Notamacropus eugenii: one gene and its partners. The protein of the gene in region 2 interacts with the protein of the main gene of each other region in a pairwise test. Links are inferred from orthologs where the notes say so. Each region holds a gene or a part of one and is shown on either strand. Other genes may lie near its edges. The genes, in order: PEX12, PEX19, PEX10 and PEX11B.

Region 1 (7,100 bases), about 78 Mb from region 2:
GGTCCTAAATATTACAAATTCTAAGAATATTCATTCTTAACACTGCTCATCAAAATCATGTGCAGGACTACATGGCCAAGTTTTCCAGTATCACCACATCTCTGTTAGAAAGAAGCCAGTTTCTATCGCTTCTGCCTCTGCAATACTTGTCACCTCTTTTCTTCAGTTATCCCCTTTTTTCCACTATCTGCACTCTCGTTTATTTCCACTCTCAAATCCAGACTCTGGGGTAGTGTCTTAATAGCCTCTTTAGCAGTGCTGCTGTCTACAGTCTCTTCCTCTTCCAACCCAGCTTGTACACAGCTGATAGATGAATATTCTTTATCCACAGACTTGATGTTAAGAAACCTGATGTCAAAACCTCAAATGGTTCTATACTGCCCACAGCTTTCCAAACTCCTTAGTCTTGGTTATATCCAAAGTCCTTAGCCTGGCATTCAAGGACTTCTAAAACCCAGGGTCAACTTTTTTAACCTTATTTTACAACACTGATGAAGGCTGTGTGACCTTTATAACCTCAGTGCTCCAAGAGACAGAAACTTTTCAGAGAATGTGCTGATCTAACACTTTCTATCAACTTTGTGTGTATCTTGTATATATACCTACACAGTCTTATACATGTTGGCATGGGACCTCATTAGACTGTGAGGGCAGGGACTATTTTCCTCCCCTTTCTTTGTATCCACAGGACTTAGCACACTGTCTGACACATAGCAATAAATTAATAAAAGCTTGTTGACCTGCATTGTTCCAGCAGGTTCCTTACCTGCATTCTCTGCCCTCATGGCTATCATGAGTCTGGTCTAACACCATTTCGTGATTTCTTTCTAGCCCAACAAGACCCCTTGTCCTGATCCATAGCCTGTGCTTTACCACCTCTTTCTGGAACCCCTTCTGACATGCTACCTTACCAGCTTCAAGTCTCAGACCCAACACTGCCACTTCTTTCTGGAAGCCTTCCAATGGGAGCATAGACTTGTAGCTCTGAGGGACCAGAGTGCTGCACAACCCCCTCTTTTTACAGAGTTGAGCCCTTATGTGCAGAGCAGGGTACTAAGTGGCAGAAGCAAGATTTAAAGCCCAGTGGAAAAAGAGCTGGGACTAAGGTCAACAGCCCTTGGTGACCTCTTACTTCTACATAAAGGGCTATTGTACCAAGTCCCTCAACCTACACAGGTTATGCCCTCCCCTAGGGCAGTGGAACCAATTTGGTTTAATTTTGGCATCTCTCCAAGCACTAGCAGATTGCCATATTTAGGAGATAACACGTAGCACATAACTTTTAGAAAGTGCATTGGAGAGGCAGCCTCAGAAGCAGGACAAAAGACACAGGCCTGCCTCAGACCCCTCCCTGTGCCCAGACAAGTCCGTTGACCTCTCGGTAGTTGACACTGCTCTCTAAGACTACGGATTGTAGAGAAGGTGCTGTCTTACATTAGTAGAGGGAGTTTTAAGGAAATCACTGGGCCACTTCTTTAATAAAAGCTCGTTAAATAAAAATACCTTCCTTTTTCTAACTGGGAGTCACAGGAAGCTAACTACACTTTAATTACAAGTAATCTAGGGATTTTTAGATGATTCAGTGATGAAGTAGGTTGTGTGAAGCACAACCGCAGAGCCAGACTGTAAAACTGCCTGAATGTGGTAAAATCAGGATCAGATTTTAGCATGGTATTTATGAATTAAAAAAAAAAAATAGAGGTTTTCTACCTCCAGCGTTTTACCTAGTGGCTGGCTGTTGCATCCCACTGGCTCCAGCTAGTGTCTTTTCCAAAGCTCGGATATCCTCTGCTGAGAGTCTACCTAGCCGAACTCCAGCTAGGCTCAGCAAGGGTGAATGATGCTGAGCCTTCCCCAGGATGTAACGTAACTGCTGTACGAGGAACCAGCCTTCCCAGGCCATGGTCACAAAGGGATAAGCTGCCAAGAAAGCTCGGTAAAACCGCTTCCAACAGGACGAGGGGGTGTGGATGGAATACTCATCCTCTTCTCTTAGGCTGGAGACCAGCTTCTCCAGCTTCACTTTCAAGTAGGGAAGGAGGACCAGGAATAAGAGAGACTTCCAAAGCTGGTTCTTGGGGACGCCAGCACTGGCCAACCTCCGGACCCCGCTAGGGTCTCCCATCACGATCCTCTTTAAGCCATAAAAGTTTTCAGAGAAGGAGGCGCTGGCTTTAGACAAGTAGTGCTGCTGTAGTAGAAGATCCAGAAAAGTGAAGATCTCATCGAACCACCTCCAGAGGAAGCCATAATGCGCTGGGTTGGATTCTGCAAGAACCTAGGGCAAAACAGGAAAATGAAGTTCGTTATGTGCCGTCCACAGCCGCCGGGACTCGCTGCCAGGAGTCCTGGGCGATCTGGGCGCTCGGGTTAGGGCTGGGGCGTCCCGGGGTCGTGGCTCCCTCCCCGGTCCGCTAGGGTCAGTCGGCCCCCTCCCCCTTTACCTTGGCCACGTGCTGGAGAGCGGGTCTCACGGCGGCCATCAGACTGTCCTGCGCGACCACCTCGAAGATAGAGGGCCGGTCATCCGCGCCCGGGGTGGCTGTGATGTGAGCCCCGTGCTCGGCCATCGTGCCCTCTAGGTGCCGGGCCCGGGCGGACCCCCGACGTCAGAAAGGGAGGAAATCCGAGGGGGCCATCGGGGAGCCCGGCCGTGCGGAGCCTCAGGGAGGAGGGGCGGGGTTGGCGGGGGGCTCAGAGGGGGCTGCTCAGCTGGAGGGCGACGGGAGCCCGGCCACCATGTCCGGGCCACGGGGAGGAGGCCGAGGCGACTGCCGCGGCCGGGCCAGGGGCTGGGATCCGGGCCCCATGAGGGAGCCCGGCGCTGAGAGGGAGGAGGGCCCTGGAGTCCAGAGCCTTGTGGGCCGCACTTGGGGGCCGGCCAACTCTGGAGCAGTACACAGAAGTAGACGTTCCGGCGGCGAGACGGGGATGGGGTGGGGGGATGGGGGTGGGGAGGAGGCGCTCTATCCCGCAGGCCGCCACTCTATTCCTCCTCGCTTCACTTCCGCTTCCGGCCGGCTGGCCCTTTAAATGGGCCACACCCTCTCTCCTTCTCTGCCCTAAAGGCACGCGTTCTAGTTCACCGCTGCCTCGGGGCGGCTCCCAGGCCTGCAGACGGGGGTGGGTTCGGCCGGGCCTTCTGCTTGGGACCTTTACCTTCTTTGCCCAGAGAAAGCGGAGGGGAGGGATCGGCCTAGACCGGAGGCGGGGATTAAGCCGCCTGCCGCGCTCTTCCGTAAAATGGGGGAAAAAAGCCTGCTTCCTGGTGCTGTGTGAACCTGAGATCCTAGCCGCCACCTTTGTGTGGTGCTTTAAGGGATGCAAAGCGTATTGCAAATGTCTCTGCATCCTCGCCACGGCCCTGGGAGCTAGGGGCTGCTGTTATCCTCCTATAGGTGGGTTCGGTGGCTTGCCTTGGCAAGCCCGGAAGTGTCTGACCGGGGATTTGAACTCCCGCCTTCCAGAGGACAGGTGGAGTGCTGCGTCCACTGCACGTCCAGCTGCCTTCTTCAGTGGGAAGCCACAAGATAATATTTATTAAGTACCTTCATGTGTTATAACACACGTCCGAATCTCGTTTTCTTGGACAGACCTTGTGATTTCGTCGATATAATAAAATCAGCCGTTTATATGATATTTAGGGCTTGGGAGGCACTTTTCATACGTTAACTCATTTTATCCTTACAGCAACTTTGGGAGGTAGGTGCTATTATCCCCATTTTACAGATGGGGAAGCAGGTGGAAAGAGGTTAAATGTCATGGCCAACATCCCCCAGCTATTAAGTGTCTGAGGCAAGACTCCAGCTCAGAATCTTGCTGATTTCAAGTCATCTAGCTTCCCCTCTTTGCCAAGGCAGAGTTGCACTAACCGCACTTGACGGTCTCGAGAGACTTTCCTCGAACGTCACACGTTATTTCAAAGGAGCTCAAGGCGGCCTCCAGAATATATGGCACACTGGTGCTGTCAAGTGATACTTAGACCTTGAGGTGATTCAGCATCTCTTATGTCTAATCTTTCCATTTCAGACTTCGCCCTCAAAGGGGTAATCCTCTGAAATGTCATTCCCTCTCAAACAGCTATTGAATAGATACTTTCTAGTAATCATAAGGTGGCCCATGCCTTAATTTATCACTTGGCTTCTTACTTTGTCAAATGCATTGTAAATGGTTGTTGAATGAACGGATGAATGAAGTGAGGAAGACCATCCTAACAAGTGAAATAAATAATAATATAAAGGAGTGTATAGTAGCCTGAAAAAATCGAAAGAATTCTCAATTTGTGGTCAGAAGATCTAGATTTTTAGTTTTGTCTGACCTCAATACTCATTCTCTGTGTAAGAATGAACAAGTAATTTCACCTTTCACCATCAGCAAAGTAGAGATAAAACTCCAATTAATTTTGTAAACAGCAAGGTATTCTCTCTGCACATACTTATAATTTATATATAATTCATAAATTTATATAATCTATAATATAAACATTTATGAGAGCTTTATTTATATGTTTATATCCATTTTATTTATCACAACAGTTTTTCTGGAAAGAACAATGAATTTGGAGGCTGGAGAGCTGGATTCAAATCCATTCAGGTTCTTTACTTGCTATGGGGGTGACCTTGGGTGTCACTTTACCTTTGTGGGCCTCAGGTTCTTCAACTGTATGAGGAGAGGGGTGGATTACATTATTCTTAAAACCCTTCCAGTTCTTAATCCTATGAGCTTTCTCATTTATTAGATGGATGACCATGCATGCATGGGCCATCTCTCCTGGTAGAAGGAAGCTCTATGAGAACAGGAACTATTTTTTTTTTGTCTTTGTGTCATTGGGACAGAGCTCACACTGTCTTACAGATCAGAAGTGCTAAAGAAATGTTTATTGAATTATTGAATCTCGTTTCTGAAATAGGGATAATACTTGCAACTAATGAACTTTTCAATCCTTAAAGTGGCATATAAATGTTATTTTTATGCTGGTCACTGATTAACCATTCATAGAACCATCTAATAAATATCAAGAGGGGAAGATAGTTTCTCTTTCCTAGGGATAGATTCTTATATTCGTTAGAATGTCTGAGTGCTGGACTTAGGAGTCTGCAAAGTAAATTTGATTTGGGTTTACAACATGGAAGCACTGTGGCACGGTGGAATGAGTGTTGCATCTGCAGTTGAAGGACCTAGATTCAAATCTGGAGTAATCCCTGTCTTTGTAGCCTAGGAAAGTCCCTGTCTCAAGTTCTCCAGGCCTCACTTTTTCCATCTGTTAAGTAAGAAGGTTGGACAAGGTGGCTTCATAGCTCCTTTCCAGCTCCAAATCTAAAACCATATGATTTTCTTTGCATGCCAGACTCCAATTTGGGACCAGGGATGTTTATGAACTGAATATTGATTTGCAGCATGTAGAATTGGAAGAAACCCAAGGGGTCATCTGGTCTAGTCTTTTCATGTTTTTATACTGTATTTTTTTATCCCTCATAGAAAGTAAGCTAGTTCAGGGCATTGTTGTCCATCGATTAACAACACTTTGTAGCCCTAAATAAACGTTTGTTAATTTTACTCATATGATCTTGGGCAAGTCCCTTAGCATCCCTGAGCCCCAGTTACCCCAAACTGTAAAACTGTGGGGTGAAACTAGAGCCCCTTATAGTCCTGGTTTTTATGGACCTGGGAAAAGTGAGGTTGTCAACCATGGTCATCGCTTGGTCTGGATTAAAATCCAGTTCCTGGGTTCTTTGGCTCACTAGAAGGACTAATACATTTACTTTCGGCAGAAGAGCAAAGCTTTCTGGGGAGTTCCCTTTAGCGGAAGGATTATTAACCTTTTCTGTGTCATAGCAGTCTGGGGAAGCTTAGAGACGCCTCTTTAGAATAATGCTTTTAGATGCAGACAATGTATAGAATTCAAAGGAAACCAATTATACCAAAAGTTATAAATATACGTACATACACACATATATTTAAAGTCTTCGAACCCCAGGTGGAGAATCTCTGCCTTGGAAAGCTTAGCCCAGTGTCCGGCCCACGGGGAGCTGGAAGACAGTAGGCGTTTAATCAGTGACATTGTCCTGAAAGAAACAACTCCCGAGGCAGCGATCTTTGGAAAAGGACCGTTTCTGCTTGGCTTTGTCCCGCCAGCACTTAGCCTGGTTCCCGACACGCAGCAGGGGCTCAGAAACCGTACGCTGGTTCACAGACTCTCTTAAAGTAGAACCTCCGCCCCTCACCGGGGAGAGCACCAATCGGGCAGCAGCAGGGAGGGCGGGCGGGGGTAGGGGGGAGTGCTATCTCCATGACGACCAGACGCGCCGCCGTTGTTCCATCCTGGGCTCGAGGCTCCCCCCAGGGGATGCTAGGAGCCCCGCCCTCGCCAACCCCCACCCCCGCGCGCCGCGACGCACGCGCCCTTGACGTGGGCGCTTCCCGTCGGCCATCTTTAGCCCTGGCAAAGGGGAATTTGCGCAGTGGCCGAGGCCGCCCCGAAAGGATTCGTGCTGGGCAGGAGCCCTTTGCCCGCTCGTCGCCCACGGCCCGCCGCCTTGTCCCTCCTCGCTTCTGCTCGCCTCATCCCTCCTCGTCGCCGCTGGTGAGTTCAGGCCTCCCGGTCTGTGGGTGCGGGGGCCAGTGGCGAGGGAGCTGGGGCTGTCGAGGCCGGGCGTGGCCGTGGCCGTGGCCGCGGGGGTCCGGGGAGGAGGAGGCGGGGGGGCCCTAGGGGCGTGGCCAGGTGAGCCCAGCGGGGGTGGGGGGGGCTGGGGATCGGGCGGTGCGGGCCGACTCCCGGTTCCTGTCAGGCTGCCGGGGCAGCTCCTGGGAAGAGGAGGGGGCGACGAATGGCCGGCGGGAGGGCGCGGGGCGCGTGCGGGGTCCCAGCGTGCGGGCGGCCCCGGCTGAAGCCCCCGCGAGGAGCGCTGCTGAAATCCGCCCTCCGCTCCCTCTCCTCCTCCAGGCTCGTTCTGTTCTCCCTCCCGGTCTCCCCTTCTCCCCTTTCCTCTCCCTCCCGTTGTCCTCTCCCCTTTTCGGTGCCTCTCCCTTTGTCTCTGTCCCCTTCATCACCAGGACCCCGTGAATTAGGTGGTGTTTCCCCTTTATTTTACAGATGGGGA
Region 2 (7,334 bases):
GAACTGGCTTCACCAAGCGCACTGTGGGGGGCGGCTGGGACCACGTCCTGGGCTCCCGAGGCTGTCCGCCGCACCTTGCCGTCCCCCCACGCCGGGGGTTGACGGCCCCTCCTCGCGGCAGACCCCCGACCTGAGCGGGGTGGCCCCTGAGGAGAAAGACGCCCCCCCCCAGCGCCAGCGTCTGCGCTTTTCGTCCCCCTCCACGCCCAGGACCACGGGCCCTCTGGCCTCTCGGGGTCCCCAGTCCGGCCCTTACTTTCCAGAAGCTCGTCCATCTCCGGGTCGGTGCCCGACGCGTTCTCTTCCTCCGCCGCGGCCATCTTGCTCCCTTGGACTTGCCGTAGAAGCTCGGGCTCCCGTCTTCCTACCACGTGCTCCCCGCTTCCTACCCGCTGTTCTTCGGCCTCGCGCAGCCAATGGGGAGAGAGGCAGGCCGGGCACCGCCATTTTTAAAGAGACAGATGACCTCATTTCTCTCTTCCTGCGGACCACCCCCTGCTCCTCCTGCCGGACGGGGCGCCCGTCTTCCCCGCCCCCGCGCTCGTGCTTTCGCTGCCGCGAGGCCCACCTGTGGAAACGCCTTCAAAGCCCAGTTCAGGTACTGTGCTCCAAGAAGGCTTCCCCGAGACCCGGTGACGACCTTTCCTCACGTTGTTAAAGCGTTGTACCTTCCCTTGAACTCGCTACGGGCTGGCTCGTACGAGCTGTTCTGTTCAGGTTCTGTCCCTTCAGATCGCAAGCCCTGCCACAGGAGCTATCTTTGCGTTTTCCGCAGCGGAAAGAATGTGGGACTTGCAGCCAGCGGAGACACGACGCCTCCTGTGTCCCTGCGAGCGTCGCCCGACCTCATCCACAAAATGCAGTTCCTGCTGCTCTGCATTGCCTACCTTACAGTGCTGTTGCAAGGAAAACGTCTTGTGACTCTCAAAAACTTTGGACAATGTGTAACTTCACATTTTTAATGGATGTGTGTTGACTTGAGCCTACGAATTAGCCTGTAACCCTACAGACAAAAAAAACGAGTGCTTGGGAATCCTATGTATTATTCGAAGTCAAATCTTTCTCCTGCCTCTCCTCACTTACCCATTTATTAGGTACCTTCAAATTTTACACTAGAATTCATCCTTTCATCAGTTGAAATTAATAACAACAGGTTAACCCACATACCCACTCAACTGCTTAGCCCATCAACATATTTTATGTTCTGTGTATGCTCTGTTTGTCAAAGAACATTTCAAAAAATCGGTCCTATTGGACTCTTTTCTTTTATATGCACCCCCCCTCCATTCACACAATTCAGGCCCTCATCACCCCTTCATCATTTCTCACCTGTATTTAATAGCTTCCACCGTAACACAATTTAAACTTCTTGATTGAAGGGACTAGTTGGGTTTGAGTGGTTTTTTTTTGTTCATTTGCCTTTGAAGCTACCATACCTTGTTTAGAACCTTGCACGTAGTATGTGTTTATTGAATGCTTATTGAATTGAACTGAATTTTTTTTAGCTTGTGATTTCATCCTTGTGCAGAAACTTTCTTCACAAATACACATTCTCAATTCCTCTGTAATTTACAAGTTTTATAGAATTGTCTAGCATTGAGAGTTAAGCATCTTACCCACATTACCCACAGTATGTGTCAGAAGGAAAACATTAACCCAGATCTTGCTGACAAGGCAAGCCTTATATCCACTATTAATCAACAAACAACCATTATTAAGTTCCTACTTAATAACATCAGGCACTTTGCTACATGCTAAAGGTGATAGAAACAAAACTGAAATAGATCCTACACTTAAGGCGTAAACATTCATACCTACAAAATCCATCTGAAGTGGCAGGGCACTGGTCAATGAGGGCCCAATAACGCGCAGATGCAGGGATTTGGTGAGCTGGCTTCTGGAAGTTTCTGAAGATCTGGAGCAGAGGGAATATACAGGTATTCTATGATTATTTCCCATCCATTTACCACCAGTGAAGAAAACACCATTTGATTTTGACTGCTGAGCTGTTGAATGTACATTCAAAAGGCACCAAATGACCAAATGGACATTAGCCTTTCCTCGTGATGCTCAAGTCATGGAGTACTTTGTGAGCCTTTGTTTGGATGGGACATGTTGTTTGTTCCTTGTTCTGGAAGAGAATCATGACATTATGGAGGTGATGTCACATGATAGCCATGTCCTCAGCAGCCTCCTGCTGCCCATTCCCTATCTCCAACACTTCCTCCCCCCCCCCCCACACTCAGACATACATAGCTTGGGTTAGCATGTGCTGTGAATATGATGTATCTGGTTTTTTGCCTTTGTATTTTTTTTGCTTTCCTGCTCTTAAGTGTATGAGTATTGGAAACGGAATGGTCTAAGTTTCAACCTTGTGAGATCTCAGATGTTGGAATTGGAGTCCATACCTGAATTTATCAGCAGCTGAACCCTAAAGAGCAATGTGCAAGATCAGCAGCTCAATCAACCAATTAATCGATCAATATTTGTAAGCACCTACTATGTGCTAGGCACTGTGAAAAGTGCTGAGGATACAAAAAGAAGCAAAAAAAAGAGTTCTCTACCCTAAAGGAGCTTACAATTCATAGGGCTAAGACAATATGCAAACAAAGCTATACAAATCTATAGTTGATACACAAGAAAAATAGGAAATTAGAGATTGTGAAAGACTTCTTATAAAAGATGAGATTTTAGGTGAGACATAAAAGAAACCAGGGGAATCAGCAGTCAGAATTGAGGAAGCAGTGTTTTCCAGGGTTGGGAGACAGTAGAGAAAATGCTTGGAGCAGAGGGATGGAAATAGCACAGAAGGAAGTTTCACTGGATTCTGGAGTGATGAGTTCCTGCCAGGTACTGCCTGGGGAGTAACGTGTAAGAAGACTGGGAAGTTTGGATATGGCTAGGTGTTGAAGTCTTTGAATACCAAACAGAGCATTTTGTATGATTCTGGAGGCAATAAAGAGCTACTGGGGTTTACTGAGTAGGAGAATAATTTAGGGAAATTACTTTGGTGACTAAATGGACAATGGATTGGAATAGGGAGGGACGTCAGGTAGAACCACTAGCAGGCTATTGCAATGTTCTATTCACTGTGCCACCTGAACTGATGCATAGTGAAGTGATTAGAACCAGAACAATTTGTACAGTGATAACAATATAGTAGAAATAAACAGCTTTGAAAGAGTTAGGAACTCTGAACAATGTAACAAATAAACAGTTCTAGAGAACCGATGATGAAACATACTATACAACTCTTGATAAGAAGTGAAAGTTGCAGAATGGGACAGATATACATGTATATATGCAGACATATGTGTGTGTATTTATATGTGCGTGTGCATACACACACTTTTTTTTTTCTTTAAGACCTAGCCAATGCTGAAATTTGTTGTACTTGACCACAGATGTTTGTGATAGGGGTTTTGTTTCCCTTTGATTCTTAATAGGGAGTAGGCGTGGGATGAGAGGAAGAGAGGGCAGAATTTTACTGAGTGAAAAAATAGAGAAGTTCAGAAGAGGGTTTAGGAGAAATGATGAGTTCTCTCTTGGACATGTTGAACTTGAGATACCTACAGGACATCCAATTTGAGATGCCCCAAAGATGGCTGCTAATGAAAAACTATATATAGCCTAAGGGAGAGAGAAGGGCTGAATAAATAGAACTGGGGATCATCTACCTAGAGATGATGATCAAATTCATGAGATCTGGTAATATCACCAGTGAGAGTAGTCATGGGAACTAAATAGATTGAAGAACTTGGAAATTAGGGTATTTGAGAGAGCACTAGTATGAATAAGTTCCCAGTGTGAGGAGTAGGGTGGAGAGAAAGATTTTGAGCCAGCCACAGAACTCATTAATGAAGAAAGGATAATATTGTGGAGCAGTTAATAGAGTACCAAGCCTGAAGTCAGGAAGACCTGAGTTCAAATTTCACCCCAGATATTTATTAGCTGTATGACCCTAGGCAAGTCACATTTGCCTCAGTTTCCTCACCTGTAAAATGGGGATGATAATAGCACCTATCTCACAGAGTTGTTGTGAGGATTAAATAAGATAATAATTGTAAAGCTTTTAGCACAGTTCCTGACACATAGTAAGCTCTATATAAATGTTAGCTGTTGTTGTTAATTGATAAAAGCCACTAGCATCTAGATTGTATGATAAATTTGGATAAAAAATGAAAGAAGATGTTGTTGAGTTATAGTGGCAGAGAGAGTTTGGAAGTGGCAATGGGGGGAGCAAGGAATATTCTGATGCCCTCCCCCCAAGACCAGGTGAGTTGGGGGTATGAGTGAATGAATGTACAACTAGAGGCTCTGAACTAGGGTGGTGATAGAGTAGAGAGAAGGGGATGAATTTAAGAGATGTTGTGGAGATAGACAGGACAAGATCTGATAACTGAACAACTGTATGAGGTAAGAGTGGGGGGATGATACCGAGCTTAGTAGTATGACTGTTACTACAAAACTGAGAGTCTGGGAGCCTGGAAGGATGCTGGTGTCCTCTACAGAAATAGAGAAGTGTTGAAAGAGGCTGGTCTGAGGAAAATCTGAGCCTCAGGTGGGACATGCAGAGTTTGAGATGCTCATTGAACATCCAGTGAGAAACATCTAATAGGTAGTTGATAATGTGAGGCTGGAGCTCAGAAGAGAGAATAGGATTGGATAAATAGATATGGGAATCATAAAAATGATTCCCAGGGATAGAGATAATAATTGATCCCATGGCAGCTGATCAAGTCACCAAGTGAGAGTCAAGAGAGAAAAGAGAAGAAGGCCAGGATTAGGGGGTGGGAGTGAGGGGGTGATATGCATGATAGTCCCGCAAAGGAAAATAAGGAGTGGTCATGTGGGGAGGAGTAGAACCAAGAGAAAACAGTCCCAAAATCCAGAGAGAAGCATCCAGAAGAGGGTGTTCAGTAGGGTCAGGTGCCATGGAGAGGTCAAGAAGAATGAGTATTGAATAAAAAGCATTGAGTTTGGCAATCAAGAGATCATTGGTAACTTTGGAGGAAGCACTTTCAGCTGAGTTATGACATCAGAAATCAGGATGCAGAGTTAAGAAAAAAAGTGAAAGGAAGGGAAGTGGAGGTACTGAGCATAAACAGCTTTATCTAGATTCTAGAAGCTGGACTGAGAAAGGGAGGAGATATAGGATACTATGTTGACAGAATGGTAGGATTTTTATTCATCTTAGGCTAGGCACAAATAGAAGAGGAAATAAATAGAATAAATGAATCCAACAAAGAAATGATAACAGATGGAACTTACCTTGTCTCTGAGAGAGTTTAAAGACTTGTAGTCAGATAAGTGTAATACAAGGTGGGTGTAATGGGAGCAAAAGAGGGATCTCAAGTGCTCTGGAAAAGTTTGAGTAGAGAGAAAATACTTTGCTTCAATGAGAAACATCATTGATGTTACCGGTGTGTAGAGTCTTGATAGAAGAACAAGATTTTTACAAATGAAAATGTAAAAGGAATTGTGAAGACAATTATAGGCATTGGTTGGCTTATGTGAATGCACAAAATCATCAAAGCTATATGAAAGGGAATCCTATGAATGAAATACAGTTAAAAATTGGACCCAAACTGTGGAAGGCCTTAGATACTTGCCTAAGGATCTCATCAATATGACTTGTTGGCACCAGTATTGGCCACCGAATCTGACTTATTTTGCTTTTTCTTGGTTTATTGTTGTAGGCATTATGTACACTTCCTTTGGCTCTGCTTTCTTCATGTAAGTCTTGTGTTTCTCTAAATTTCTCATTTTCACAATTTTTTTTATGGTATTGTAATATTCTATTGCATATACATACCAGCTTTTCCCCAGCTGTTGGGCACATATTTTGATTCCAGGTTGTCACAGGTAATGCTTCTATAAGCATTTTTTTTTAATGTATAGACTTTCTATCATTATTGTTGAAATATAATCTAGGAGATCAGGTAGCTGGTATAGTGGGTACAGCACTTGGCTTGGAATCAGCAAGACTCATCTTCATGAGTTCAAATCTGGCCTCAGATACTTACTAGCTGGGCAAGTCACTTAACTGTTTGCCTCAGTTTCCTCATCTATAAAATTATCTGTAGAGGAAAATGGCAAACCACTTCAATATCTTTGCCAAGAAAACCTCAAATGGGGTCATGAAGTTGGACATGACCAAAAAGACAGAACAACATGATCCCAGAAGTGGGATCTATGGGCCAAAGGTTATGAACAATTCAGTAACTTTTCTTGAATAATTCCTCATATTTTCCAGAATAGTTGATTCAAATCACAGATCCAACAATCTTTAGAACAATATTTTTCCATATTTCAGCATCTTTGCTAACTTAATAGATATGAGGTGAAACTTCATGATTATTTTAATTTGCCTTTCTCTGATTTTTAGTGACTTTGAACATTTTTGCGTGGTCACTGATAGTTTGTGTTTCTTCTTTTAAAAACTTTTTGATGATTTGTCCATTAGGAATCTTATATATCTGTGTCAATTCTCTATAGTTTCTGTATTTCGGACTTTTATCAAGAGTTATTTAATGCAAAGATTTTTCCCCCAACCAGATTTATTTAAATATCATTTTGACCAACCAATAAATAAACAGAAGAAAAGGAGAGAATAATTATGATGTTTTTTTAAATATAGGGAAGAAAAACTTAATTTGTAGGCAGGAGGGCAAAAGACAGTAGACAGGGAGAGAATGAAGATTAGGGAGAAGGCAATAATAGGAGGCGCAATATACTAGATAAGATAGGAGAATATGAAATCAAGGATGCACATAGAAGGGTTTGCCATGGAAAGAAGGGCCAACCCTTCATGTAAAGAATGAGGTGAAAGGAGATAGGAGCAGTAGGAAGATAGCTACGTGGCACAGTGGATAGAGTGCCAGGTTTGGAGTCAGGAAGGCTGATCTTCTTAAGTTCAAATCTAGTCTCAGATACTTGTTGTGACCCTAGCAACTACAAGACTGGATGAAGCTGACAGAGCATTCTTCTGTTTATGACTGTCAAGGACAAGGCACCTATCAGACATTATTTTGAATAATGGGACTTATCTTGGTATTTTATGGGCACGTTATGTCATGTCATGTCGTGTGTATGTTCATCCTTTGTTGCCAAAGAAGACCATGCCATCAGAGAAATAATGACATGACTTGTACTTGACTTTATTTTGAGTGAGTGAGGGCTGTGCAGGTCTCCAGCCTCACTTCTCCTCCAGAGTCATCTGAATCTAGTGACCAGAAATTCATCAGGATGATTGGAGATGACCCAGGATGAGGCAATTGGGGTTAAGTGACTTGCCCAAGGTCACACTGTCAAGTGTCTGAGGTGAGATTTGA
Region 3 (7,067 bases), on a different chromosome or scaffold from region 2:
TTCCCCACCCCAGCTGCCCTGGGTCAAGCCCTCATCACCTCTCCCCAGCCCACTGATGGGCTTGCCTGCTTCCAGAACAATCTCTAGATCATCAGGCCAGACTCCAGCCATCACTCCTGCTTGGCTCTTTTCATTTCTTTCCTACTGACTCCAGGATAAAAAGCTGACATCTTGTCCCTGGGGGAGCCTGCCTAGCAGCCTCTGCCAAACTGGCTTCACCACTGTTCTCATCACTATCCGAGCCTGCCTCCTTACAGAGTGCTAGGCCTGGAGTTCAAATAAGGCCTCTTAGACACTCGCTAGCTGGGTGACCCCCAACAGGTCACTTCACCTCTATTCCTCAGTTTCCTCATTTGCAAAATGGGAATATTAATCAAACCTACTTCCAAGTTTGCTGTGTCAGCCAAGACAACACATGTTAAACATTTTGAAAACCTCAAAATGCTATGTAAACTCCAGTTATTACTATTAGGTTTGCTAAGTGGTACCAAGGCCTAAAGTCAGGAAGAGAGATGCATTCAAATCCAGCCCCAGATACTGACTAGCTAGGTGACCCTAGGCAAGTCATTTCACCCTGTTGGCCTCAGTTTCCTCATCTGTAATACGAGCTGGAGAAGGAAATGGCAAACTACCCCAGTGTCTTTGCCAAGAAGACCCTAAATAAGGTCATGAAGGATCAGACATGACTGAAAAACAAAAAAACCATCATTATTGTTTTTATCTCCATGGTCCAAATCCTTCTCTTTGGTGCTCTGCTCAGCTGCCACCTCCATGAAGCCCTCTTCAGTCTCCCCAAGCAAGGACATTCTCTTCTTCAAGGAGCATTTTGCTAGTATTTCACCCTTTTCCCCATTACGGTTCTTTGTACTTAACTGGGTACCTGGCATGACTCCCCCTTTTAGGCAGAGACTGTCATCTCTTTAGCACATGTCCCTAGGACCTTGCACACAGTGGGTGCTGTAGCATGTTTGCTGAACTGAGCTGAGTAATGGAAGTCAGCAGTGACACAGCATAATGATGGAACTTGGGCTAAGTCAATTCATCCTCTCTGGGCCAAAGGGCTCCCAGGGATGTTGTAAGAGGCCCATGAATCACAGGGTTGCACAGGCATGGGGATCGAGGTGGCTGCTTGTGCCTCGCTGGGCCAGGCAGGATTTGACCACAGGCCCAGAGGTCCATTTCACTCCCATAATCACGAATGACAAAGGACTTATCCTTTCTCTGCCATCCCTGAAAGAATTCTTCTAAAGTGTGAGCAGAGGAGGCCTCCCAGGTGCTTAACTGAGGAAGGAGGGAAAGGCAGAGACTTAAGGGCTGGGGAAAGGGCTCCCAGGCCTGAGAGTGCTGCGAAGCCACCCCATCCCCCAAGGCCCTCAGATTTTGGGGGCACCATGTTGATTCTTCACTGCATCCCCCACCACCCTACCTGAAAACGTGGTAAGGGTGAAGTATGCCACATCCGACAGCAGCTCAATTTCCTTCCTCCACTCTAGCCATTTCTTAGCACCTGAAAGAGTAGAGAGGCACAGCAATCTAAGCAGTCAGTGCACATTTATTAAGTATCTTCTGTGAGCCAGGCACTGTGCCAAGCCCTGGCAATGAGGGGCAGCAAGGGCAAAGAGGTGGGAGATGCTACGTCCTATAAGGGGAACAGTGCAGACCAAGTGAGCTGGCCTGGAGCGTGGGTCATGGGCAACGAGTTTTCAAAGACAGGCTGGGGCCAAATCATCCTCGAACAAGACCCTCCATGTCTCCATATTCTCTCAGGCTGTCCCCTGTGCCAGACTCCTGAGCTCCCTGGCTTCCTTTAAGTCCACACTAAAATCCCACCTTCTACAGGAAGTCTTCCCCAACCCACCGTTGGTTAATTGTTTCCTATTTATCCTATACTTGGCTTGTCTTGTCTTTCCCTAATAGTTTACACATTGTCTTCTCCATTAGACTGTGAGCTCCTTGAGGGCAGGGCGTGCCTGTCTTTTGACTTTCTTTGCATCCTTAGTAACTGGCACAATGCCTGGCATCCAGGGGGTGCTGGATAATAATGGCTAACATTTGTACAGCACTAATGATGTGTCAGCCTGTGTTAAGCACTTTACAATTATGATCTCGTTTTTCCTCTGAGGGCAGGAATGGTCTTTTCCCTTTTTTTGAATCCCCAGTGCCTGATACATAGTAAGGAGTATATGAATGTTGGCTGTTATTTCACTGTTTTTTAGACTGGAAGGTCCCTGAGGGCAAGCACTTTTTGCTTCTTTTTGTATTCTCAGCGCTTAGCACAGTTCCTGGTACACAGCAGGCGCTTAATCAGTATTTATTGTTTGAAAGAAAGGGCCTTGGGTGCCAGAAAGAAGAGTCTGCACAAAGTAAATTAAATCCTACCAGCGATGAAGGGCACTCTAGCAGGTAAGAAGGAAAACTAGCAGGGCCATGGGGGCGGGGCTTGTGGAAAGCAAGGACTGGGCGTAATCACAACAGTTACATCAGAGAACCTAGCGGCGGGGCACACACATGGACCCGCCCCGCCCCGCCCCGCCCACTCTTCTGTTCTGCCTTCCCTCTCACGCCTGCGCATTCCGTGGCTCTTCCCTCGCTGGCCCCGCCTTCTCCAGTCGGAGCCTGCGCAGTCCCACTCCCCTTTGCCCCGCCCACTCCCTCTCACCCCATCCCCACCTGAGCCTGCGCACTCTGGCTCCCGCCCGCCCACTACCTCTTGTGGTCACCCCGGCCTTCGCGGCCGTCCGCGCCTGCGCACTCCCTGGCCCGGGCTCACCTGCCAGGCTGTGCAGGGCGCTTCCGGCCGCACTCCGCAGGTTGCCCCTGTAATATTCATCCTTCTGCGCAGCACGGATCACCTCCGGCTGATTGGCGGACGCCAAGGCCATGACCACGACCCTCAGCGCCTCCGAGCTCCGGGCACGGCCCCTCGGTGCCCAAAGGGCGGGGCCTGGTGACCGCCGTCGCGCGGATCGTGTCGCGTGGATTATACGTCACTCACGCGTGCAGGGATGGGGTGGGGCGGAGGAGGAGGAGGAGGAGGAGGTGAAGGTCTTAAAGGGACCAGTCTCTTGAGAGCTGGGATGGGTTGGTGGGGGGGAGGAGAGATCGGTGGGGGGGGGGGGGGAGCGGGGAGCGGAAAACGGAGGCCTCGAGCTTGGCACTTGGCTGAATGGCCGGGGGCCGTGAACCCCAGTCTCATTTGCCCTCCATCCCTGCCCATAGCCTCCTCCCCCCGGGACCCCAGGGCTCCCCCGGACCTCTGTGTAGACGGGTGGTCCCGGCTATGCCCCGCGCCCGTGCCCCGCGCCCGTGCCCCGCGCCCGTGCCCCGCGCCCGTGCCGTGGAGTGGAAGCTCCTGGGGAGCAGGGGGTACGGCCTTCCTCCTCCTGAACTTAGTTAACCACTTCGCAAACCCTTGTCGATTGGCTAGCGGACCGTTGGGGTCCCGGCTTCTCCTCGCTACCCTGCAGTGCCCGCTCCGCCGACCATCCGCCCGCGTCCCCCCGCGGGCGTGGAAAGCCCACCCTGCACCTTCGCGATCCCCTCGGGAGTGCCCCGAGCGGAGACCCCCGGTCTTGCCCTTCCCGGCGGAGGCTGCGAGTCAGCAGACCTGGGTCCAGCCGCGGCCACTCGGGGGCCCGAGCCGTGTCCCCACCCATGCAGTAAGAAAGGATCAGACCGTCCGAATATCCCGAGCAGCCCCTCCCGGTCCCAAAGCCTCTTCCCGTGGGACAAGCTGGCGAAGGGCTCAGGACGGGCATCTGAGACCTGGGGGGCGGGGGGTGGGCACCCCGGGGGCCACACGGCCTGCCTGGAGGCTGCGCAGCCCAGGAAGGGGCGAACTCACCGCGTTTGGGCTCAGAGCCCACCCCAGCCTCCGAGCTTGTGTCTTCATCGCAGACAAGCCTCAGTGGTCTCCAAAATTCTCCCCTCCCCTCCCCTTCTCCACCCACTGAGAAAGGAAGCTAGCAAGCAAGAAAAAGCAATTACAAATAGAGACAAGCAAAACAAACCCCCACCTTTGCCCCTTTCATCTTACCCGTCCCTCTCTATCCTCTCTTTGCATCCATCCGTCTGTCTCTCTGTCCCCTCTATTCATCTGCTTTAGTATATATCTGTGTATACACACGTTCAGTCGTTTTTCAATCCTGTCCCTTCATGATCCTATTTGAGGTTTTCTTGGCAAAAATACTGAGATGGTTTGCCATTTACTTCTCCAGAGGAGGAAACTGAGGCAAACACAGTAGAGGGACTTGCCCAAGATGACACAGCTAGGAAGTGTCTGAGGCTGGATTTGAACCTGGAATGAGTCTTCCTCATTCCAAGTCCAGGTCTCTATCCACTGCTCTACCGGTATGTGTGTGTATATGCATGTGTATACATGTACGTATGTATGTATATGCATTGTGTAGATATGCATATATGTGATACACATATATGCACACACATATATACATATATGTATCTGCTTTAATTTGAAGAGTCCCTCACTTGGAGGCAGATAGCATGTTTCTTAATGAGTCCTGGGAATTGTAGTTGGTCACTGTGTAGATAGATCAGTGTGCCGAAGTCTTTCAAAGCTGCTTCCCTTTGCAACATTGTTATTATTGTATGAAGTGTTCAGGTTCTCTCCAAAGACTTGATATTGCACATCAAACAAAGATTGTTTTGAGTATACACCCTCAAGACGTGTATATTTACTCATTTTGTGTGACCCCCCCGCCTCAGTTTCTTCTTCTGTAAAGTGAGGGCAATAATAGCACTTATCTCCCAGGGTTGTTGTGAGGATGAAATTAGATAATATTTATTTTAAAAAACACTTTGCAAAACTGAAAGTGCTATATAAATGCTGACTAGTATTATTACTATTTATGTACAACATGAAGTTCAAAAATAGAAATTAAGGAAGACTAAAATGAAGATGAAATAATCTTTGAGTCCATAGGGAGCCATTGGGGTTTACTGAGTAGGGGAGTGACATGGTCAGGGCAATGCTTTAGGAAAATCCCAAATCCCCTGGGTGGAGGCTGAATTAGAGCAGGGAAAGTTACTACAAATAATCCTGACAAGAGGTGATGGGGTCCTGAATTAACGTGTTGTCTGTGTGAGCAGAGAGAAGGGGACAAATGTGGAAGTCTGACAATTTGGCAATTGATTGGATAGTGGGATGTGGGGCTGGAAGGGGAAGGTGGTTATGGAAAACTGTAAGTGGGAGGTTAGTCCTTCCCTCACCCCCGTATTAGGGAATTGAGAGATGGGCCAGTTTTGTGGGAGGAATGATGGAAAGATCTATAATCCAGTTTATAATTTCACCATGCTCCAAGATCTTTGGTTCCATTCAAAGCCAAAAAAGGGGAGATAGAGCTCTTGCTGGTCACTGCTCCCACTCATAGCCAAGAGATGATCTGGGAGAGAGTGGACAACTGGGGTTGAACTTTCCCAAAGACAACCCTGTAGCTGTTGTGGGTAGAGGCAGTTTGGTTTAGGTCATAACTGCCCTAAGGGACAAACACCTGGTTTGGAAAGGGAGAGACTGGGAGATAGCACAGTAGGTGTGTATGTGTGTGTGTGGGGGGGGGGGGAGACAAGGAAGAGGAGGGTTGGGGGGCAAAGGGTAAATATCTGTCTCTAGCCTCAGTTTGTCCCTTGAGTTTCACTATAGGCTACTGGGCATCTCAAACTCACCACATCCTAAACCAAATCTTGTAAACCTTCCCTTTTCCCCAAATGCTCTATTCTATTGAAGGCACCACTATCCTTACAGTCTGCCAGATTTCTAACCTTGATGTCATCAGCTCCTAATTCCCCTCTTGCTTTGAATCCAGTCACTGGACAAATCTTGTGGTTTCTACCTCCCCAATACTTCCACATCTGACCTATTTTCTCTACTCACATTGTCACCATCTTATTTCAGGCCCTTATCATTTCTTGCCATGACTATTGCGATGGCTTCCTATCTGGTCTCTCTGTCTCAAGTCCTTCTCCATCCCAATCCATCCTAGACAGAGCTGTCAAGGTAATATTTCTTGTGCCATGTCAATCCCCCACTCATTCAATGTCCATTTACTTCCCATTGCCTCTAGAAATAGAAATTTCACTGTTCAGCTTTTAAAACTGGCCCCAACCTAACTCACTGGACCTTACTCTCCCTCCCACACTGTGCTATCCAGCCAAGCTGGCTTTCTCCCTCTTCCTAACCCATGACCATCATCTGCGCACTGGATGTCCCATATGCTGGCACGCACTGACTCCACTCATTTCCACCTTAAAGAGTTTCTCTCTTCCTTTAAGATGCAGCTCAAGATAATCAGCTATGGTAGATTTAGCTCTTCTTAGCACTACAAAATGATCAAAGACAGTTCCAAAGGACTCATGATGGAAAATGCTATCCACATCCAGAGAAAGATCTGTGGAGTCTGAATGCAGATCAAAGCATACACCTTTTTGTTGTTTTTTCCTTCTTGTGGCTTACCCTTTTGTTCTGATTCTTTTTTCACAACGTGACTAATGTGGGAACATATGTAACATGATTGCACACGTATAACCTATATCAGATTGCTTGCCATCTTGGGGAGAGTGTAAGGGAAGGAGGAAGGGAGAAAGAAAAATTTGGAACTCAAAATCTTATAAAAAAAATAAATGTTGAAAACTAATTTTACATGTAATTGGGAAAACATACAATACTATTAAAATATTAGAAAAATAAGGGGAAAAATAAGATGCAGCTCACACTCCATCTTCTATATGAAACCTTTTCTAATCCTTCCAAATAGTACTGCCCTCCCTCTCACAATATCTTGTATATATTTGTATTTATTCCCTGTATATTTAGCCTGTATATAGTTTTATCTGTATTTATCTCCCTATGGGAATGAAAATTCATTAGGGGTTGGGATCGTTTCATTCTTGGTTTTATTTCCCTCTTGCCTACCACAATGCCTGGTCTACAGTGGGTGCTTAATAAATACTTGACTGATGAACTGCTAAAATCACTCTTCTTTCAAGATTCACTCTTTCTAGGAGAAGCCTTTGCTCATTCCCCAACAACTAGTACCTTTTCTCCCAAACTA
Region 4 (7,258 bases), about 82 Mb from region 2:
TGAGGAGATGAACAAGACAGCCACGGGCAGATAAAACAAGGCTGAGGACAGAGTGTGGCGGTAAGTAGGCAACAAGACAAAAGCAAGGGCACTGGAGCAGCCAAGTTTTGTTTCTTTCTCTTTGACAACTTCGGACTCTAATGACATTTTCTCCATTTCCCTTTGTTCATGGTTTTAATCAATCCCAATCCCCTGCTTGTACTTTGTTTTCCAGCCACCTCAACTGTGAAATAAGAATGAGGGGGTAAAGTTATGGCTTGAAGAACATTCTTAATCAAACAAGGGATAATAGTGATCATAAAAGATAAAATATGTCATTTCAATTACATAAAGCTGAAAAGCTTTTGCATGAACAATACTGTTAGAAATAGAAGTTGTTAGCTGTAATAAAAAAAATCTTTGCCCCAAAGATCTGCTAAAAGTAACATACAGAAAATAAATAGGGAATTTATATAAATATATCCCCGACCGATAAGTGATTAAAGGATATGAAGAGGAAGTTGTCAGAAGAAATTCAAGTTATTAACAAGAATATAAGTACTCCAAATCTCTAGCAAGAGTAAGGCTAATTAAAAATACAAGGTTACCTCACAATCATCAGACTGACAAAGATGACAAAAGACAAAAATGGTAAATGTTCCAGGGTTTGTGAAAAGACAGGCACACAAATCCACTGCTGGTAGAGCTCTGAAGTGATCTAACCACGTCAGAAAACAACTTTGGTATCATGGTAGAAAATTCACTAAACGATATGCCCTTTAGTCAAGTGATATCATGACCAGGCATAATCCCAAAGAAGTCAAAGACAGAGGGAAAGACTCGATATAAACAAAAATATTTATAACAGCACTTTTTTTTGTAGCAGCCACAAAATGGGTCCCTGCTGTGGGGGAATAGCTGAACAAACTGTGGTGTATGAATATAATGAAATATGACTGTGCTCTATGAAACATCAAATATAAAGAATTTAAAGAAACTTGGGAAGACTCCCATAAATTGGAACTGTGAATAAAGAGGCTGATGAACAATTAAAATGATGACCACAAAGGTATACAACAACTAATAACTTTAAAACTCTAATCAATGCAGTGACCAATCTTGACTGACATGAGGCATGCCCCCTCCCTTATCCTGAGAGATATGGTGCCTCTAGATTTGGAATAAAGCATGCATGGATGATGTATTGATTTGCTTTCCTTAACTGCGCTTAGCTACAAGTAAAGATTGAGGAGGCAATGGAAAAATCACTGAGCAGTGACAGACTTTTAAAAGAAAAGAGTATTAATAAAACATTTATTTAAAAAGGTTTTTGGTAAAAATACAGGGAGGGGACGATTAGCTAGAGGAAGAGACTAAAAGGAAGTCAGAAGGAAGCAGAGAATACTTGGCACTTATCTATTCAGAGGAGAAAAGTCACTCACGCTTTCGTCCAAGGCTCAGATGGCCCTCCAACTGCCGTATTTGATTCAGAAGTTCAGGACTTGCCCCATGTTTCTGCAGTGCATGACCAAGGAGGGAGCAGGCATACTGAGCAGCTCTACAGGAAGGAGGAGAGAGGGGTAGGGGTGGTATTCAAGTCAGGCTGAAACACCTCCTTCCCCAGCAGAACCTTCCTTAAGACTTGCACACCTCCAAACCCCAGGTTCCTCGTTCTGCCCTTCTGAACAAGAGAGGAGAGGGTATGGGACAGGAGAACCAGTGAAGGTCACAGGGACTGGGAGGTGAGGAAGCGTGGATTAAAGCAAAAAAAGAAAAAGGAAATGGACACTGGAAAGAGGGTGGAGGATCGTCGCTGGGCATCCAGATAGGCACGGAGAGATGGGGGGTGTGCTTGCGGCACCGGCTGAAGGGCTGGTAGCTCCCCGGCCTGGGGGGGGGGGGGGGGGGGTCTGGCCGCGGGGCCCAGGGCACCACCTGGGGCACTTCCCCCACTGCCGGCGCCCCGAGACCGCTCGGCGGTTCTGGGGTAGAGTCCACAGACTCCACTCCAGCCCCATTCTTCCTCCCCCGCACCCCACGCCGCCTGAGTCACGTGGGCACGAGCCCCTTGGAGGCCCAGCAGCTAACAGTAGGACCTGTGGCGACCAGGCGGTTCACCACGCACACACAGACACAGAGACACAGAGACACAGACACACAGACACACACACATAGAGACACAGACACACAGACACACACACAGAGAGACACACAGACACAGAGACACAGACACACACAGACACACACACAGAGACACAGAGACACAGACACACACAGACACACACACACACACAGACACACAGACACAGACACACACACACACAGACGCACACACAGACACACACAGAGACACACAGACACACACACAGAGACACAGACACACACAGACACACACAGACATACACACAGACATACACACGCACACGCGCACACACACACACCAGGATCAGAGTCCATCTCCGAGGCGAGCCTGGTCGTCGGGATCTCCACCCTCCCCGTCCTGCCCCCAATCCATGCCTCAGTTTCCCCATCTGTCCTGCGGGGGGGAACGACTCATTTCCTCACAGCTCAGCTCGCGCACTAGCTGAGGGGTCTCTCGCTCCCGGCCTCCGTACCCGGGGCTGACCCATCCTGACCCCCGTCGCCCGAGGGAACCGCAAAGATCTGCGTCCCCGCTCGCGCCCCCTGCCCCCGGCCGCACCTGCACAGGCGCTCCCGGGCCTGGCTCTGGGCGCTGAAGCGGACCCAGGCATCCATGCCAGCGGCCTCGAAGTCCACTAACCGGCTCCGCGGCCCAGCACTGCCCAGCCTGGGCTCGTCTCCTTTCCCCTCCCCACGCCCTCCTCCGCAGAGCCCGACGGCACCGCGTGAGGGACAAACTGGGGAGCCAAGCAAAGCGCGCGGAGGCCCCGCCCCTCGGAGCCGCGGCGCCGCGGGGGCCCGGCGGGGCCCGGCCTTCCCAGGGGTGCTTCGGCTTCCCTCGGAAGCTCGGGCGCGGCAGGAGGCTCAGCCATCTGCACAGATTTTCCCGCGCCCCAGGGACGGGAGCGCCGCCCAGCGCAGTCCTTGGGGCCCCTTGGCAGCCGCGATCTTTAAAAGTACTAGCCGGTGAGGAAGGGGGAGGTGGGACCAGCAGGAGGCGGGGCCTGAGGAGGCGGGGCGGGGCCGGCCTAGGCTGGCGTGCTGAACAGCTGCCGCAGTGACCTCCGGCTGCGGAGCGGGCGCTGGACCGGGGGCTCACGGGGAGCTGGGGACCAGAGCCCCTCGGCCAGCTGGGTCTGGGCACGGAGCAGGAGGGCCTGGGAAGCCCCCTGCGGGATGGGACCCTGAGTTCTGGACAGCGGGGCGGAGCTGACAGCCCTCCGGACAAAGATGGGGAGCGTCCCTGAAACTGACGACCGATGCGGTCCGAGACCACGATGACCCGCACCAGCCCCTGGCCTGGCTGGGGAAGAGATGGGCTGCCCGAGCTGGCCGCTTCCCCCCTGCAGCTATGTCCTCCGACAATGATACAGTTTGGGGCTCTTCAGCCGGAGAGGAAGCCTGGGCGGGGGCGGGGGTCGAGGTGGAGGAGTCAGCGCTTCCCACCTTTTCAACTGCCGCCAAGGTCCGAGTAGGAGTGACCGCTGCCCTGTTCCTGTCGTCGGCTGCAGGGAATCTGGCTGTGCTGTGGTCAGTGACGCGGCCAAGATCCAGTAGACTCCGCCCCTCCCCTGTCCGCCGACTTTTTGGCCACTTGGCCGCTGCAGACTTACTGGTCACTTTCGTGGTCATGCCCCTGGATGCTGCGTGGAATGCCACCGTCCAGTGGCTCGCTGGAGATGTTGCTTGCCGGACACTTATGTTCCTGAAACTGCTGGCCATGTACGCGGCTGCTTTTCTGCCTGTGGTCATTGGACTTGACCGCCAGGCTGCGGTGCTCCATCCTCTTGGACCCCGAGGGGGTGGGCGAAAGCTGCTGGGAACGGCCTGGGGGCTTAGTTTTCTACTTGCCCTGCCCCAGGTGAGTGACCAAAGGAGTGTGAGCCCGTGGAGTCGAGGTTTTATCCTACCCAGGGAACTCACGGAAAAGATGGTCTTTTACCTCTTCTGTGCCCTTCAAGTCTATTTACATACAATTGGCATGAAATTGAATGCAGAATCGCCCCACCCATCCGCTGCATCTCGCTTTCCGGTGGGTCCCCCAAACTTCAGTTTATCTCTTCTCAGTTTTCCCTCAACTCTACGGTAAACAAGGAGAGGCTATAGTTAATGAAAATAAGAAAGGAAAGTGAAGTAAATTGAAATCATGGTATGCAAATTTATGGTGCATGACCGAACCTGAACACTTCTGGCTGTTCTGACGTTCAAATCTTAAAGCAACCCGGGAGTTTTAAAAAGTTAGGGAGAAAAAAAACCGAAAACTTTTTTTTTTACCAAAACAAACAAAGCAGCTTGTGTTTGTGGATGGACTAGAAAAAATGTTAGGATTCTTCACTTTGGAAGGAGTCTAAGAAAAAAATGCACATTTTACAAATATTGCACTGTAAGGTTACAAAATACTTTATACACATTTGAGTCTCAACAACAGCACTATGAGTTAGGTAGTGTGCATTTAATGTTCAATAATAAATGCTTATTGAATGAATATTCCCATTTTACAAGAGGAAACCAGGGTTCAGAAATATGAGTGATTTCCCCTAGTTCACACAGACAATAAACAAAAAGCCTGAACTAGAATCCAAGTTTTCTGACTCTATGCTAGTGCTGTTTTTAGTACAATAAAGGCATTTAAATCTACAAAATCATTAAAAGTACTAATTTCCACAACACAGAAACTAGGTGGCACCTCTCAGCTAGAGAAGATATATGAGAATACTGAAAGAAATCCTAATTATGGTTTTAAGACAAACATGTATTTTACCTAATGAAGCCAACATTCCAAGTAACTCATCCTTAACTGTAAAGAAACCCTATTACAGAGGAGGGAGATACATTAATTTTTTCTTCTTTTATATAGACAAAATTAGTTATGCACCATATATCAATACCAACAAATTAATAATGATGACTTTATGGGTAGGAGAAATATTGTACAAAAGGGGATGTTCTGTCAGTTCTGAGGTAACTGAGATAATTGTTAGTTTTTGGCTATAATTTTTTTTAATAGATTCTATTTTTTAAATAAAATTTGACATTTTTAAAATGTGTTGATATTTTAGAGTTTAATATATATGATGTTTAAAGTCATTAAACTGATCAGACTGCTGCTTACATTTATTAAGTTTCCAGATGCCAGACATTTCAGTAAGAGATTATACATGTATTGAAAGATTTCTTCTAATTTGATTGTGACTTTTCTCTGAGCCTGAATTGCTTCCTCTATAAAATAAAGGGGTTGGGCCAGATAGTCTCTAATGTCCCTTCCTGCTCTACAGTTATATTAATCTTTTATTACTTGGAGAAAAGAATAAGACTGGGATAAAGTAAGGTATAATGTAAGTACTATGGATTGCTTGGAGCTTTGATCTACTTTTAGATTCCAGGTCACTTGTATCCATTCAGATTTGCACCAAATACTGAGTTTTCCACCTACTCACCAGCAGCTACAAGAAAGAGCCAATAAAGTTTGTAAATCCTGTGGCTTTTCATTTTCAGTTTATAGAATGGCTAGATCCCTGGTCATTTATCTGGCTCCATTACCTTCTCCCTCCCCAAAATGTCCTCTTACAAGGTTATTTCTGAGCATTAGAAGGTAGAATAAGAAAACATTGAATACCTAGGGAAACAAGGAGGAAAATCCTTTTTTTTTTTTTTTTTTTTTTTTTACAAAAAAGGTGGGATTTTTTTTGCATTAACTGTATAATTTGATCCCTAGAACTGTCCTGTGAAACAGCCCAGGTTTTGCTTAATTACTTGCTGGTCTCTGAGTCAGCCCTTGTTTTTTTTCTCAGCTCTGCCACTGAGACAATGGGCAAGCCAACTGTTATTAACTTGTGTTGCTTACCTCACAGTTGTTTTGAGGGAAGTGATTTGGTAGTAAAAAGAGCTGACATATCAATTAACAAGTAATTTACTTCCCTCAAAACCCTATGAGCTAGATAGTACAGGTATTATTCTCATTTTATATTCACAATCTGAGAGGTTCTGAAGTATCCAAAGGTTTATTTGGGCAGAGAGGGGAAAGGGAAGGAAAGCATTTATATAAGGTCTTTTATGTGTCAGGCACTTTACCAATATCTCATTTCATCCTCTCACATCAACCCTGCAAGGTAGATGCTGTTATACCCATTTTACATCTGAGGAAACAGAGGCAGAGGTTAAGTGACCTGCCCAGGGTCATACAGCCAATTAAGTATCTGAGGCTGGCTTAGTATTTGATTACATTTGAGTATAAACTTGTAAAAAGAGACAAACTCATGTCTTCAGACTCCTGATCCAGTGTCCCCTCATGACTACATCTTGGCCCTTCTCTATCCCCAATCAACTCAGTGGCTCAAAGTTCCAAGCAACTGGTAACGTTCAGCTATAGACAATGACTCCTTCCATTTCTGTGAGATTTCCCCCCTTTCTGCTGAAACTGCCTCCAAGCAAGACTTAACTATTATTTAGAAGCCAAGGTATTTTTGCTTCCATAGCTGGAGTGGAAACTAACAGCCCTGCAGTCTCCAAGCAAGAACGATACTCAGAGACCAACACAGCACTTTAAAAAAAAAAAATGTCAATTTTTATTAATACTTTCAGTAGTTACAATACACAAGCTCTTGCTCAAAGAACATCTTGTTGATAGATTGACTGCTTAAGTGGGTTTCTGAACAGCACCCTTTATAGTTATTTCTTGTTCAAACAATATTTGTCTACACACAGCAAGTAATAGCACCGTGAGTTACTGGCTAGATGGCTAAAAGAAAAAAATACCCTTCATATGGTTGTTTTTGGTAAAACAGAATTCAGCTACATTTATCTTTAAATGGATGTTTATGCTTCAGCTAGTTTGGTGGTTGGCATCATGGATATACTATTACCCTAATCAGTATTTGCTACATCAACCTCCCTATATGGTACGGGTGAGGGGGTGGAAGTGAGGAATATTATGACATAAGGTGGAAGTCTTTGTTTTATACTCCACCCCACTCCAGCTGTTCCTGTTTCATACTGTCCGCCGTGCTGGCCCAGTCCCCTTCATTCAGTGTGTCACCAAAGGAAGCTTCAAGGCCCGATGGCAAGAAATCGCCTATAACCTCTTCACCTTCTGTGGGCTCTTCCTGATACCTCTGACAGCCATGGCAATCTGCTATGG

The links.
Region 1: the proteins of PEX19 (region 2) and PEX12 interact in a two-hybrid assay, tested with the Homo sapiens proteins (4 studies listed by BioGRID and IntAct, with this or other methods). The link is inferred for Notamacropus eugenii from reciprocal best matches to the Homo sapiens genes PEX19 and PEX12.
Region 3: the proteins of PEX19 (region 2) and PEX10 interact in a two-hybrid assay, tested with the Homo sapiens proteins (4 studies listed by BioGRID and IntAct, with this or other methods). The link is inferred for Notamacropus eugenii from reciprocal best matches to the Homo sapiens genes PEX19 and PEX10.
Region 4: the proteins of PEX19 (region 2) and PEX11B interact in binary tests that used the Homo sapiens proteins (3 or more experiments, as listed by UniProt). The link is inferred for Notamacropus eugenii from reciprocal best matches to the Homo sapiens genes PEX19 and PEX11B.

What each region holds. Positions count from the first base shown.
Region 1 is NC_092873.1:307,719,778-307,726,877, reverse strand, and holds the start of PEX12 (peroxisome assembly protein 12), read right to left. Parts: upstream 3,004-7,100; 5' UTR 2,571-3,003; coding exon 2,445-2,570; intron 2,279-2,444; coding exon 1,725-2,278; intron 1-1,724. UniProt on the Homo sapiens protein: Component of a retrotranslocation channel required for peroxisome organization by mediating export of the PEX5 receptor from peroxisomes to the cytosol, thereby promoting PEX5 recycling.
Region 2 is NC_092873.1:385,304,556-385,311,889, forward strand, and holds the start of PEX19 (peroxisomal biogenesis factor 19), read right to left. Parts: upstream 3,007-7,334; 5' UTR 321-3,006; coding exon 257-320; intron 1-256. UniProt on the Homo sapiens protein: Necessary for early peroxisomal biogenesis. Acts both as a cytosolic chaperone and as an import receptor for peroxisomal membrane proteins (PMPs).
Region 3 is NC_092876.1:37,005,907-37,012,973, forward strand, and holds the start of PEX10 (peroxisome biogenesis factor 10), read right to left. Parts: upstream 3,002-7,067; 5' UTR 2,883-3,001; coding exon 2,771-2,882; intron 1,508-2,770; coding exon 1,427-1,507; intron 1-1,426.
Region 4 is NC_092873.1:303,222,727-303,229,984, forward strand, and holds the start of PEX11B (peroxisomal membrane protein 11B), read right to left. Parts: upstream 3,021-7,258; 5' UTR 2,737-3,020; coding exon 2,681-2,736; intron 1,538-2,680; coding exon 1,422-1,537; intron 1-1,421. Other genes in the region: gonadotropin-releasing hormone II receptor-like, read left to right, coding at 3,473-3,982, 7,098-7,258. UniProt on the Homo sapiens protein: Involved in peroxisomal proliferation. May regulate peroxisome division by recruiting the dynamin-related GTPase DNM1L to the peroxisomal membrane. Promotes membrane protrusion and elongation on the peroxisomal surface.